Linked DNA regions of Cricetulus griseus. The protein of the gene in region 1 purifies or fractionates together with the protein of each later gene. This does not show direct contact. Links are inferred from orthologs where the notes say so. Each region holds a gene or a part of one and is shown on either strand. Other genes may lie near its edges.

What was found.
Region 2: the proteins of Stx8 (region 1) and Vamp7 purify together in Homo sapiens (affinity purification with western blotting; 3 studies listed by BioGRID and IntAct, with this or other methods). This does not show direct contact. The link is inferred for Cricetulus griseus from reciprocal best matches to the Homo sapiens genes STX8 and VAMP7.
Region 3: the proteins of Stx8 (region 1) and Stx12 purify together in Homo sapiens (affinity purification with mass spectrometry; 3 studies listed by BioGRID and IntAct, counting the BioPlex papers as one, with this or other methods). This does not show direct contact. The link is inferred for Cricetulus griseus from reciprocal best matches to the Homo sapiens genes STX8 and STX12.
Region 4: the proteins of Stx8 (region 1) and Napa purify together in Homo sapiens (affinity purification with mass spectrometry; 4 studies listed by BioGRID and IntAct, with this or other methods). This does not show direct contact. The link is inferred for Cricetulus griseus from reciprocal best matches to the Homo sapiens genes STX8 and NAPA.

The regions. Positions count from the first base shown.
Region 1 is NC_048600.1:81,830,588-81,834,826, reverse strand, and holds the start of Stx8 (syntaxin-8), read right to left. Parts: upstream 2,801-4,239; 5' UTR 2,683-2,800; coding exon 2,666-2,682; intron 1-2,665. Other genes in the region: Cfap52 (cilia- and flagella-associated protein 52), read left to right, coding at 3,583-3,658. UniProt on the Homo sapiens protein: Vesicle trafficking protein that functions in the early secretory pathway, possibly by mediating retrograde transport from cis-Golgi membranes to the ER.
Region 2 is NC_048604.1:48,804-52,303, reverse strand, and holds part of Vamp7 (vesicle-associated membrane protein 7), read left to right. Parts: intron 1-282; coding exon 283-340; intron 341-3,152; coding exon 3,153-3,290; intron 3,291-3,500. UniProt on the Homo sapiens protein: Involved in the targeting and/or fusion of transport vesicles to their target membrane during transport of proteins from the early endosome to the lysosome. Required for heterotypic fusion of late endosomes with lysosomes and homotypic lysosomal fusion.
Region 3 is NC_048595.1:20,412,087-20,415,586, reverse strand, and holds part of Stx12 (syntaxin-12), read right to left. Parts: intron 2,212-3,500; coding exon 2,106-2,211; intron 1-2,105. UniProt on the Homo sapiens protein: SNARE promoting fusion of transport vesicles with target membranes. Together with SNARE STX6, promotes movement of vesicles from endosomes to the cell membrane, and may therefore function in the endocytic recycling pathway.
Region 4 is NC_048602.1:10,772,293-10,775,792, forward strand, and holds part of Napa (alpha-soluble NSF attachment protein), read left to right. Parts: intron 1-786; coding exon 787-903; intron 904-3,500. UniProt on the Homo sapiens protein: Required for vesicular transport between the endoplasmic reticulum and the Golgi apparatus. Together with GNA12 promotes CDH5 localization to plasma membrane.

The DNA of each region.
Region 1 (4,239 bases):
GGCAGAGTTCTGTGAGTTCAAGGCCAGCCTGGTCTACACACACACACACACACACACACACAGAGAGAGAGAGAGAGAGAGAGAGAGAGAGAGAGAGAGAGAGAGAGAGAGAGAGAGAGAAGAAAAGAAAATGTTGTGCCAGGTTCAAGGAGTCCCATACCAATCCCAGGAGTAGACACTGATGCAAAAGCAAAAGGTTTGTTTTTATTGTTCAAGCTGGCCAGCTTGGATCTCACTCCATGGTGGGGAAATGAGACGCCAACAAGCCAAAGAGAGAAGCTTTTAAAGGAGCAGACCGTAAGGTTGAAGTAACTTAACGAAACGTCTCAAACTTTTTTAAAAAGTGAATAAAGGCATAGCTCAGTGCACGAGACTCAATCACCAGCATCAGAAAGAAGAAAAGTGTTTAACTTGGGCTGGGGATGTGGCTCCAGGTCCTACAGAGAGAACTTTGTTGTGAACTTCACAAGCACTTCAGAGACAGTGTCACCCCTAACCCTAGACTCACATATACATCAATATGCATCATTCAGTATATTCAGGTATAGGTATGTGTATGAAAAAGAGCAGGTGGTTAATATATATTATATATGTTTTTTTGGGGGGGGTGTTGGAGGCAGGATTTCTTTGTGGCTTTGGAGGCTGTCCTGGAACTAGCTCTTGTAGACTAGGCTGGTCTCAAACTCACACAGATCTGCCTGCCTCTGCCTCCTGAGTGCTGGGATATAAGGTGTTTGCCACCACCACCTGGCTTATATATAAAATTTTTTAAAAAGAGAGGCAATAAGGAAAATAGTCCTAGCCCCGGATTCCCCACATTTTACTTGTTTGCCTTCACACTATCAGCTATGAAGACAGGAGCTTAGTCTTGCTCTGTAAGGGCAGATCAAACATATAAAATCCATAACACAATTCCATCAAATACGAGACCTAAATTAAGTACCTCTGGAGTTAGGATGGGAGACATTACTGATGTCAGAGGTGCTCAGATTGGCTGGGCTGCAAGAGGACATCTTGGGCTGACTTCCAGACTAAAGCAGATTTCCATACTGGAAGGAGGGGTGAAATCTAAACACCATGGAAAGCACAAGCACAGAAGAATTGAAGAAAGCATGCCTGACCAAGTACTGGCCCTGTTAGCAGGGTACATTTAAATAGGACAGATTAGCAGAGGTCAGTTTCTACAGAACTTGGCACAGTAGTCTAATGAGATCTGACTCAGGGGAATTTTACCCCAAGACACTGAAGCATTAGAACTCTTTTACTGTTAGTCTCAATTGTTTTACTCAGTGGCTTTCTCATTTGACAGTTGAAAGCTTTCTTGTGTTGCTGGTGACCAAACTCAAAGCCTTGCATGTAGTAAGTTCTACCACTGAGAAAAACTGAAATATATGAACATTCAGATGATGTACTGATATGCATGTAAAAATCATTTTTAAATACTACTTAATGATATGGAGACACGCTTCCTGTTGTGTAAAATACAAGCAGGATATAGATTCAAACAATAAAAGTCTTCAAAAGAAGTTAACATTGGTTCTTTCCAAATGATGAAGATGCTATTTATTTTCTTTCCTGCAGATACTCAGTAGTCTCCAAATTTTCTACCAGGGGTGTACACAATTGTTGAAACTTGTGTGTGGGGGGGAGTAAGAAGTGTTAAATTCAGCAATTTCCTGGGCATGGTGGCTGCATGTAATCGAACCACTTAGACTGAAGCAAGAGGATCAGGAATTTAAGGTCAGACTGGGCTCTCTGAGACAATGGAAACAAAGCACACAAACAAATGAAAGCCCAAGAAAATTTCAGCAACTAGCCCAAATATCTCAAATCCCAGGTAACTCTAACTCTGACCTTGGGATCCACTCTCCTAATACTTAAAATTGTCTGCCATCAAACAATTATAAACTGTACCAGAAACACCCACATAAGGCATATCCTCCAACAAGAACTTTATAGAAATACAATGTTATAAATTATTAAACAGGAAGGTCAAGACTGTATAGCAATGTGTTCCTTGTGTGAACACATTTTCTTCATTCTTTCCTTGGGGCTTCATTGCTGAATAAATGGCCCTTATCGGGTGCTGACTTTTGCACTAGTTCTTGCTGACGTTAAGTCTTCATGATACTGACACAGGAAAGGGTAAACTGCCTATCACAAGTGCAAACTTCCCTCCCAGATTGCTACAAGTCTTATTGTGAAGAGCCCATTACACCTATGCCCAGCTAACTACTAACTGGCTGGGGACCATGGAGTCTGAACCTCAGTTTCTTCCCTTTCTGGGGATTAATGGGTGAAGGCAGAGACATCCCACCAAAAGGTTATTTCTACTTCACTTTTACAGGACCCCAGGGGAGTCTACACACGCAGTCATCCACAGGCAGGTTAGGCGAGAAGCCCCCACAGAAGGCGGGGGAAAATATCGATTCTGCTCAAGTCCCAGCTCCCCCAGGTCACGGTGTCCCCCTCCGACCACCGAGTTAGCGCCGGGGAGGCGGGATGTGGTTGGGTCCCCAAAACAGGGAAAGGATCCTCACCCGCTTTGCTCACCCCTAAAAGCTGACAGCCTCAAGTTCAACGATGGCCAGGGTTTATGCGAATCCCTGGGAGCCACTTCCACCCCAAGTCCTACGGCAAACTACTGCCAACACCAGCAACTCACCAGGGGTCCGGGGCCATGGTGCAGTCTCCGCCTGCAGCTGGGACACTTCCTGCTCACAGCAGCTGACTACGGCGGCCCGCGCGGCTCATTCCCCGCAGTTCGGAAGGTGCGCGACCCGAGCCCAGCGGACAGCACAGAAAACATATTTTAGGGGCCTCAAAACCACACCAACCAAAGCTCACCCCTGGGAGACAGTGGATTGCAACAATCGATTTTTAGTTAATTCGTACGAACTGCTGGACGCAAGGAAAATGGTTAAATTGTTGAGCAGAATCAAAACCTTTTCCCAGGGATGGAAGCGCTTCAGACTCCGGCTCTCGTAGTTCTTCGCATTTTTTTTTTTTCTTTTTTTCTGATTCAAAAACAACAGAGCAAGCCGGCTGTGATACCTCGCGCCTGAATTTGCCGTGCTTGGAAGGTTGAAGCCGGAAATATTCATACAAGCAACGTTCATAGTGATACATACATGAAAATAGTTGCATACTGTACTTAAATTTTTAAAGTGATCTTTTCAAAAAGAATTCTTTTACAAGGAGGTATCAATTCCGTGTTTTGTTTTGTTTTGTTTTTTAATAGCAGCCTACGCATCAGAGGCAATTCTCTGTGTTCAATTACTTTTAATAGTTACCATAAGAGGCTTAATTTTATAGTTAAGACAAAAGTCAGAGTTTACACGGGAGACGAGGGAATTCATTCTGCATATTCAGTATTCACCTAACACCTAAATTTCTAGAATGAGTGAAAAAAATAATAAGGAAGCCCTCCCTACATTTACAAAAAGGTAAATAAAGTCGAACTCAGTGGGCTGGATTTCTGCTCCAGCGTAAACCTAGCACGCATGCGTGCGCCAGTTACCATAACGACCAAAAGACGCTGCAGCCAGGAGTTGAGGAATCAATGAGTTGAAATTCTCCAAGATGGAAGAACAAAATTTACCCGAAACCGAGACCGACGTAGCCGAACTGGAGCTTGAGGCTGTGATCGGCTTCAATGGTGAGGCCTGGAGCATCCATAATACCCCAGGGACAAGTGAGACACTGACTTGGTGGCACCTGAGAGGCCGTGGGGACAGTGGCAAGAGCCTAGCCAGGCATCACCCACGGTGATGAAGGATCTTAGCCTCATTCCCGAGCCTCAGAAATTGGAATGTGCCTAACTCAGTCTCTCTCTCTCTCTCTCTCTCTCTCTCTCTCTCTCTCTCTCTCTCTCTCTCTCTCTCTCTCTCTCTCTCTCTCATACGCGCACACACACGCACCCCTGGGAGCAGTCCTTGGCTCTGAATATTCCCCCAACCCCCACCCCCATGCATCCCCGGGTAACACCCAACCTGGGGCAAACAAACAAACAAACAAACAAACAAAAAAACACCTTTCCACACCCCTTGCTGATCTACAGTTGAGAAAGGCCTTAGGTGGAACTGCTCTAGGGGTGCTCTGTGTCCTCTGTCCCAAGTAAGGACTCTCAAAGGTTTAAAAGACAGGGATGGGAGGGAAGAGGACGTAAAGGGAGACCGCCAAGGGAGAGTCCTTGTTGATTCTGGAGAGGCCTGGCCGCTGTCATTACTTGTGGCTGTC
Region 2 (3,500 bases), on another chromosome or scaffold:
CTCTTCTGTAGGCCTTAAAAATCCATTTATGCTTTTGTAGTTAACATTTTAAATGTTAATGCACATGTTATTTAGGAACGAGAACCTCTTTTCACATTTTATTCATTCCTGTCAGTTTATCCAGAGATACAAATGTATAGGGGAGGGGAGGATGAGAATGAATTGTATTTGTAATTAATATAGTGAAGTTGGACATACTAAACTGGCATATATAGATAGAACTTAGAAGCAAAATAGATGATGTTTAAAATTACAATATGATTTATATCTTTTATTCTACAGTTACTTGTTTCATTACATCTGCCAAGACAGGATTGTGTATCTTTGTATCACTGATGATGTAAGTAACTTGAAGATATATTGCTATTTTACTATGCATACTAATACAGTCAATTATTAATTATCTATACCTATAGTGGCTAAAGATGATAAAAATTTGTAGCTTGAATTTTTTCTGCATTTTGCATTTATTATAAAGAGCATATTATGACAAAGTTTGATACTTGAATATGTATTATTTAGCTCAGTTTTGATAGTTTCTGCTTAATCTCTCTGAAAATTTACTACCCCATACAGTATTTTCAAATTAGCATTTATTATGATTGTTTTTGTTTTTTTAATCATTTTTTGAATCTTTAAAATTTATTCTTGGTTTGCAATATACCCTGACTGTAGTTTCCCCTGCCTCCACCTCCTCTGTTCCCCAGGTTCACTCCTGCTGTTTCCCTTCAGAAAAGAGCAGGCCTCCTAGGGCTATCCACTGAACATAGCGTAACAAGATACAATAAGACTAGCCATAGACCCTCATAACAAGGCTGGGCAAGGCAAGGAAGTAGAAAGAAAAGGGTCCAAGAGCAGATGGAAGAGTCAGTGACTCCCCCATTCCCACTGCTACAAGTCCCACAAAAACACCAAGCTAACAACCATAACATATGTGTAGAGGACCTAGTGTGAATCCATGCAGACTCTGTGGTTGCTGCTTCAGTCCCTGTGAGCCCTCCTTAGTTAATGTCTGTGGGTCATGTTCTCCTGGTATCCTTGGCCCCTCTGGCTCCTACAATTCTTCCTCCCCCTCTTTCCATGTGGTTCCCCAAGCTTCAAAGGGGAGGGACCCAATGGAGAGATCCAATTTGGCCTCTCTCTACCTAATGACTACGATTGTTATAAAAGCTTCTCAAAATGTTGACATTGAATATTAAATTAATTATTTAGTTCCTTCAGTCAATATTTAATAAATTTTTATATATCTGTACTTTAGAAAAACAGTATCATAGTGCATTATGATCAATGTACATGTGTAGTTTACATTGGTTAGGTTGTTTTCTGAGTATTTTGGCTATAAGTCCAGAATGTTCAGTAACTTAATGTCATCAAGAAACATTTTCATTATTCATTGTTAGTTTCTTACAAGTTCCCCTTATGGTTGCATGTAGCTACATGGCTACTTATTTATGTACAAAGAAGAGAGACAGAGGAAAATATGCCCCTCTCTTTTCTTTTGAAGTTAACTCCTTTTCATGCCATAATGGCCATGTGCTATTTCTAAGCTGTTCTCTGATAGAGTCATGGAATTAAATTAACATGATTTCTATAAATCAATGTTCTTAAATTTTCTTGTCACAGACTCCTTTATCCCTTGTGTTTATACCAAGAATGTTGTTAAAGGTATGAACTAGAACACACAGGAGTCTAAACAAAATCAATTCTACTTACATATAACATTCAATATATTTTAAAGGATATACTAATAAATATATTTCTTTATGACTTCATTGAATACCTGGTCATCAGCCTAATAATAATACTTTTGAAATGTTAATGCATGTAAACTATTTCAAAATACCTGTAACTGTGATAGCATATTAATAAATATTTCTGGAGATGACAAGCTATAGGTACTGTTTAATACTCCTTTGTTTTGTTACTTCCATTCAAAATTGAAATTTAACCTAAAGAATGATGAAAATAACAGTGTAATATTTCTTCGTATCCTAATACAAGTGCCCCTAGAATTCTGACCATTGATCCCAGTTCAAGAATCTGTGATGTAGTGGTGGAGTGATGGTTCAGTGAGTGGTTAAGAGCATTGGCTTCTCTTCCAGAGGACCCAGGTTAGAGCCTCAGCAACAACATGGTAGCTCACAAACATCCGTAACTTAGGAGATCTGGCACCCTCTTGCGGTCTCTAAGGCTATGCATACATGTGCTACATAGGCAAAAACACTCCCACACATAAAATAATGAAAAATCCTTGGTTTAAACTAAGTCAAAATGATGTTCAATTACATTGATCATCAAATGATTTTTTCCTCTGGTTTCACAATAAAGTCCAGCTGTATCTGTAAGGACTGATGTGAAATGCTTAAAATCGATGAGAACTGTCATAGAATATCAAATGGTCCAACTTGAGCAGCAAAACTCTTAAGCTGTGGTTTGTTGCATGTGTGCACACACACATATACACAACTTTTTGACTTCTGGTGAGTAGACAGGGTACGTCACTTGACCTTTTCAGATGTATCACTGCTATTAGAAAGTATTAGTTCAAAATCCATATCAATAGCATTATATTTATATATTAAATACCATAATCTTTTTAAAAATCTGTTTTTTATTTTGTTTAGGTGTATGTGTATTTCTATGTGTGAGAATGTCCACAGAGAGCAGAAGAGCAAATCAGATTCCTTGGAGATGGAGTTATAGGCAATTGTGAGCTGTCCAACCTGGATGCTGAGAACCAAACTTGGGTCCTCTCAAAGAGCAACAAGCATTCTTAACTACTGAGCCATCTCTCCAGCCTCCAAACTATACTATTTTTATTGATGTATTGAGCATCTTCTTATGCTAGACCTTGTGATCATGTGAAAGAACTGGAAGAATTGAAAATCAATTCCTGACCCCTGAGTTATTAATCTACATACCATTGTTTTTAGTTTGAATTTGGCTCTCAGCTTTTTAATTTATTAGCTGTTTGACCTGACAAGTTAGTTGTCTTTTTGTAGCTTTTGTTTCTTATCTATGAAGCAGGATCCGTTCTGCTTACTCCTCATGGAGTCAGTCATGAGTCAGTAAACATTATTGTTGTTATTACTAATCTGCCAAATATCTTTGTTTACTTTGTAAATATGAGTACAATATTGGTCACTTTACAGGATTTTGAGCGCTCTCGAGCCTTCAGTTTTCTGAATGAAGTAAAAAAGAGATTCCAAACTACTTACGGTTCAAGAGCACAGACTGCACTTCCATATGCCATGAATAGCGAGTTCTCGAGTGTTTTGGCTGCACAACTGGTAAGATTTTTCTCAGGACATAGTGTTTTAATTTGTATTTTCTTTTTTGTTAAATTCAAGCATCATGGATATAGGGGCCCAGACCTATAGAACACTTTTCTGATTGTGTCACTATAAGCCAACATAATAAAGCTCTCTATTAAAAGAGGTAAAGTGGTCATTTTAGTATAGATAGCTAGTTGGTGATTATTCTCTATTACTAATAGTCAG
Region 3 (3,500 bases), on another chromosome or scaffold:
AACCTTCTATTACTGTTTACTTAATATTGTACAACAGATGGCATGAAACCCACCCATCAAAAAAACTAACGGCACATGTTACCTGAGAACTAGTAAGATCATTCAGGCCTAAACTGGAGTGCTGGAGTGTGCTCAGTGTCACAGCTCTACGTGGAGCAGACCAATTTCAGTGACCACCAGGACTTTAGACCAGAGAATTCAAATGGCTTCTATAGGACTGTGCTGCCTGGGGAACAAGTGGAAGACACACAACCCAGGGGCTGGTTCCCCCAGGACTGATTCCGGATCTATGTGAGGACTACTGGCTTCTATTGTCACTGGGATGATGCTCCATATAAACAGCTTTCAACTGACTGACAAAGAGCTTAGACGGTGGAGAAGAGTTGGTAGGGTGAAAGGACAACAGCATTTGGAAACCTGCAGCTGACTGAAAAAGTTTAACGACAAGTCAGCTTGGTGAGCTAAACTGCAGTTTTCCTGGCGGTGATGGAAATAAGATTCTCCAGGTTCAGGTTTTTGCTTACTCATAGGTAATAAGCTATGGCCTGCCACATGTCAGGCAGAAGAGCAAGGGATTAGCCTGTTAAAAGTATGCTCATAGGGTGTGTGGTCTGAGTATTGTCGCAGTTGGTGGACTATTTAGGAAGGATCAGGAGGTAAAGCCTTGTTAGAGGAGGTGTTTCACTGGAAGTGGGCTTTGCGATTCTAAGCGCCCACGCCAGGCCCAGTCTCACTCTCTCTTTGCCTCCAATTCGTGGATCAGATGTAAGCTCTCAGCTACTGCTGCAATGGCATGCCTCCCTGCCTATTGCCATGCTCCCCGTCATGATGGTCATGGACTCATCATTTGACACTGTAAGCAAGCTCCCAATTAAATGCTTTCTTTTAGAGCCTGGAGACATGAATCAGCGGTTAAGAGCAATTATTGCTCTTATAGAGGACCCAGGTTCGGTTCCCAGCACACACACACACAAGGCAGCTCACAACTACCCAGAATTCTAATCCCAAGGGATCTGACTCCCTCTTCTGATCCCCTAAGTGGAGTGCGCTAAGTGGAGCACCCATAAACAAAATAAATAAACAATAAACTAAATTTAAAATTTTTTAAAGTTTAAAGCACACCTCCTAAACATTCCACCAACTGGGACAATACACATTCAGAACACTGCAACATATGAGCATACCTTTAACAGCATTTAAAAAATGTTTTTATATGTTACCTTGATCATGGTGGAGCTCAGGGAGCCAAGAACAGTCTACAAAACTCTCTCTCAATCCCACATCAAAAAAGGCTCCAACTCTGATCCACTGAAGTGACAAGAGCTATACTTGGAATTGGACACTATACTATTTATTTATTTTATATGCACTGGTGTTTTGCCTGCATGTATGTCTGTATAAGGGTGTTGGGTACCCTGGAACTGGAGTTACAGACAGTTAGGAGCTGCCATGTGGGTGCTGGGAATTGAACACGGGTCCTCTTGAAAGAACAACCAGTGTTGTAACCACTGGTTGTTCTCTCTAGACCCAGAATTGGACTTCATAATGTACAAAAATAGAGCAAGAACTTTGGCCTAGCCGGGCGGTGGTGGCGCTCGCCTTTAATCCCAGCACTCAGGAGGCAGAGGCAGGCAGATCTCTGTGAGTTCGAGGCCAGCCTGGTCTACAGAGCGAGTGCCAGGATAGGCTCCAAAGCTACACAGAGAAACCCTGTCTCGAAAAACCAAAAAATAAACAAAAACAAACAAACAAACAAACAAAACCAAAAGAACTTTGGACTGCCTATTAAAAGGAGCTTTCCACAGAATCCTACTTAACCTGAAGACTGCTATTGAGATGAGGAAAGTTCTAGGAAACAACACAGTACTATCTGCCTTGCTGTTTCCTTGGAGACCATGTGCTAAGTGGAGTTTGAGGAAGAATCTGGGTGCTCCTGAGTGCCCGGGCCAGCAGCACATAGCAGTAATTCAATTCTGCCATGACTAAAGGGACAGATAATATAAAGTACAAAGACTCAATCCAGCCCTTTTCATATTAATCCAGCAAAAACACTCCAGATACCTGCAGACACCCAAGCCAAACAAAAGCCACAGGCTGCCTTTTACCTCTAGCTGCCGAATCGCCGTTTCCCTCTCTTTAATAAGTTCCAGGTCTTGCTCAGTGATGGCCGCCTCATCCTCCTGGCTCTGCATCTGGTTCCACTCCTCATGGCTACAGGGAGACAAGCACTCCAGTTGATTCCTTCTCTCTAAGGTACGAGGAGATATAACTACATCTCTGCTGACAGCAGGAACTACACAGACATTACCCAGGACCCAACTCTTCTACTAGCAATACAAAATTCAGAGACAAGGATGTAATACCAAGAAAATTAAATTTCAGTCATAGGCAAAACTGAGATGAGGCAGAATTATGGAGGACAGGCCACTTTGCCTTTTCCACTTAGGGATACTTTTTCCAGACAAGGGAAGTATCCGCAGGTTCAAACTCAATGAAGTGTACTGACCAGCTCTCCAGGGCACTCTCAAAGAACAAACTGTGTAAAGGAGCAGTAAATGAATGGAGGAAAACAGACTCAGCCACCAAACAGCTTCCTAGGAAGTTCCTTGAGACTGTTTTGGGATAGACCCCATTTAACAGAAAGCCAAACTAAAAGCTAATAAAATTTTTGCAGCTTGATATTTTCAGGTACTTAGAAGAAAAGTGTGCTATTTATTAAATTAAAAAATACTTGGAAAATTCAATATTATATAATTGACTCTTTAAAAAAAAATCATTATGAGCTGAAGAGATGGCTCAGTGGTTAAGAGCACTGGCTGCTCTTCCAGAGGACATAGGTTCGATTCCCAGCATCCACATGGCAGTTCACAAATGTCTGAAACAGTAATACAATTCCAAAAGATCTAACACTCTCACACAGACATACATACAGACAAAACACCAAGGCACATAAAATAAAAATAAAGCAAATTTTAAAAAATCATTACATGTATAGGCTGGGTGTGGTAGTATACACCTTTAATCCCAGCACCCAGGAGACAGAGGCAGTTGGATCTCTTTGAGTTGAAGGCCAGCCAGGCCTACAAAGCAAGCTTCAGGCCAGCCAGGGCTACATAGTAACCTGTCTCCAAAAACAGGGGGGAATTACATAGACTCATTATGTAAACCATAGTCTTGAACTCAGAGGTCCACCTGTCTCTGCCTCCCTAAAGGCATGAGCCACCATGCCCAGTACATTTATTTTAATTGTATGTGCACACACATGTACAAGTAAGTGGAGGCCAGAGGACAACCTCTAGGAGTCATTTCTTCCCTTCCACCATGGTGTCCAGGGTGTCAGCCTTGGCAGCATGTGCGTTTACACACTGAGCCATCTTTCTAGCCCTTACACATTTTCTCAACAATATGTATAAATCATATTATTTAAATATATAATATTTAAAGCATGTCCTTTAGGCTTTGAGGTGTCCACAATATAATGTAAGAGATGAATACATATC
Region 4 (3,500 bases), on another chromosome or scaffold:
TGGAGGCTCCCACTCAGCTGGGACTGGAGGAGCATGCAAAGTAGTGCCTTAGCTGAGGTGGTATTGGAGCACCACCCACAGCAGGGAAAACCCTGCTGCCTCCCCTTAGCCAGTCTAGGGGAGGTCTGAGCAAAATGGTGTGGAGCCCATGGCTGCCTCGGGCATTAGCACTGTCTGCGCGGACTCTGGCTCTTGCTGTCCTCGTCCTGTTTCCCTTTCTAGCAAGGACTCAGACATAGCAGGGGTGCACCTGAGAGCTTTGGGGAGTTGTGGAGGACAGAAATGGGCTAGGAAAGGGAGCAAGTGGGAAGTGTCACATGGGTTGATCTCACCTGTGCCTTCCCAGAGCACATCCCTTCCCCCCCCCCCAATCGCCCCATCCCCACCTTTAGTTCAGGTTCTGGGCTTCCCTGTTCAAAGAGCCCAAGAGCCTGGGTGTCATGTCTCATGTATTTGCAGCCCTCAGCTCTCTGTCTGTCTTTCCTTCCTCTCTGTGGAAGTGGTGGCTCTGGAGGTGCCGGCAGAGGGGGGGGGGACATGGGTTTGGCACTGTGTTTACCTGGCTGTTTCTGTGCCCCTGGGCTCAGGCTTCCCCCGAGGCTGCTTCCTGACGTCCTCACTCTACCAGGTGCATACCACCAGGAAGCTCTGTGAGGGGTTCAGGCTGCTTTTGGGCTGGAGTGGGCTGATCTTGGCCTCTACCTGTATTCTAATTGTGAGCCTAATGTGCCTCTCTGGGCAGTGACTGCAACTGCATTGAAGCTGGGACGATCTGTTCTATTCCAGCTGCCGGGAACGCTTTCTGCCAGGCTGCCCAGCTGCACCTACAGCTCCAGAGCAAGCATGATGCAGCTACCTGCTTCGTGGACGCAGGCAACGCTTTCAAGAAAGCCGACCCACAAGGTAACCTCTGTGAGCCACAGCTGGCAGAGCAGCTGAGCACTGTCCCCACATCCTTGGGTCTATACAGAGCTGGGTTTTTCCAGTAGTTGACACATGATAGGCCAGGAGCAAAACAAGCCCCAAATTCAGAATTGGCTGGTCCTTGGCTGACATTGGCATCCTGCCCTCTCTCCCCACCCCCCACCCCCACCCTGGTGTGCAGCCCTCACCCCCTCCTGGGCTTCGAGCATTTGGTAGTGGGAGTTCCATCTCAGGCCCACTCCTTGCCAGGGAGCCAGGCAAAGCTGTTCAGTTGTCAGAATTAGCATGCAGAAGGAAGCAGGGAGCAGGGAGGGGGGCAGTCCCAGATGAACCAGGTAGAGCGGAAGTCAGCCTGACCTGCCTTCCCAGCACACCAGAAGGAAGCAGAGAGAGCAAGCCTGGAGTGAGCTGCCAGAGCCCAGTTCCTTAAAGCAGAGCCTATGACATAGGAGCCTGGTTAGGCCAAAGCACAGCCCATGGACCTCAGACTTGAGATTTCCAGGCTGAGGAATTTGCTTTTGGTATTTTTGTTCACTTATTTTTGTGGTGCTGGGAATGGAGCCTGGACCTCTGTGTGCTGCAAATGTGTTGTACATGTCCCCAGTTCTTTTTGGTTCTTTTTGAAAATGGTTCTTTTTGAAAATCTTAGAGCTACATAGATGACTAACTTTAAATTTCAGCACGCACAGGTATTTGTTTGTTTGTTTGTTTGTTTGTTTAATTGGCCATCTAAGCTAGTCATGGCAGTGCCTGCCTGTCGTCCCAGAGTTTGGGAAGTAGGGACAGGAAGATCAGACACTCAGCTATCCTTAGCTCTTGGCTACATAGTGAGTTTGAGGCCAGCCTGGGTTACATGAGACTGTGTCTCATAAATAAATCTTTAAAGTATCCAGGCTGTTTCTCTCAGGAGAGTGGGAAAGAAGTGACTGTTCTTTCCCAAAGGAGAGGCTTGGGGTCTGGGTGAAAGCCCACCTCTGAGGAGAAGAGAAGACAAGCACCTCGGTCCTCCCCAGCATCAGTGGATGTCAGCCGTCATTGTCACAGGACCACTCCCAATTAGAGAGATGACTGTGGTGACTCTGTCCCTGGGCTGACTGGTCACTCCTGTTTGTTTAGCTATGATGTGTGGCTCAGGCCTGACAAACAGAGAGGGACGGATGGCCTTTCAGCCAGGACTTAGATACACCCAGTGACTCAGGGCAGTCCTCTCCCCCACAGAGCCGTCCCCACACTTTCCCTTCTGCTCCCTGGGGAACTGGTTGGCCTGGAGATGCTGCCTGGCATCTGTGCCCTTCAGCTGCTGCTCCAGCCGGAATGGCCGGGAGGACTTGTTCCTAGGTGGCAGTGGATGCCAACCTGCAGGATGCCATAGCTGCCCCTCCCAGCTTGTGGTCATGTCCTTTTTCTCTCGGGACCCAGGCATGGGCCCCGGCCTCAGCAAGTCCAAGCTGATGGGAAAGTATTGAGGGTGCTGCAGCCAAGGGTGTGAGTGAAGGTAGAGAGGGGCCGACTTGCCTCACGGGGAAAGCACAGTTGTGAGGGGAGCGCTTCTGGTGTTAAGGGCTAGGGACTCAGCCACGTGGCATCCAGCGCTGCTGCCTTGCTGCCCTGCCCAGTCACAGTTCCACATATGAGGGGAAGGGGGTGCATTTGCACGGTTGACAGCTCTTCTGCGGGGCCAGTCAGGGCTCACAGAGAAGAGTGACCAAGCAGGGGAGGACATGCCCAGGTGGTCTGAGCAGATCACTCCCCCTCCTCCAAGGAACCCAGTGGGGACTTGTGCTGCCCCACTACACTTCAGCCTAGCCGTCACTCTGCTGTGTTCTCTCTTCAGTGATAGCACACACCTACTGTGAGCTGTACACAGCAATTCATTCCTGGCATCCAGAAGGGGGCAGCCCCTGGCACCAGAGCCTCCCTGCATGGCTGGGTGCCCTGGGAAACAACTGGATGACCAGTGGAGGCTTGAACCCCCAGTTTCTTCAGGAAGGACCTCCCTTAGCTAGCTGTGAGATCCCCTGCCCTGGGGTCTGGTCCATCAGCTCTTTAGGAATCTCGCCTGAGCTGCTTGCCTGAGGCCTGGGAATGTGACCCTTTTAGAGCAGGAGCTCTAAATGAGCTGTGAATGTGCACGGGCAGGGAAGCAGTCTGGCTTCCTATCTACCTATCCCCACCGCCTCATTGGAGCTCGTGGTTTGTCCCTAGTTTGTTGTGGACGGTGCTTGCTTAGATCTGCATGTGATCAGGGGCTTCAGGGTGATGCGGAGGTGAGCCGGGCTCTGTAACTCCCTACCTGCTCTGGACAGGCTGAGCACAAGAGGGTGGGAATAGACCAAGGGCCCTACTATTTACCTTCAAGGTTTCACTGAGGCCTGTGGCATCAGATAAGCCCTGTGGTAAGAGCAGGCCCGGGTGTCAGCTGGCAGCCTACTACTTTCCAAGCTGTTCCCAGAGCAAGGGGCCAGCATAAGAGGACTAGGCCCTGTGAATCCATGTTTCTCCCCCACTGCCGTGGCAGGGACTGTCCCACCAATAGAGCCTATGCCAACAGACCTTGGCTACCGAAGTCTCCTCAA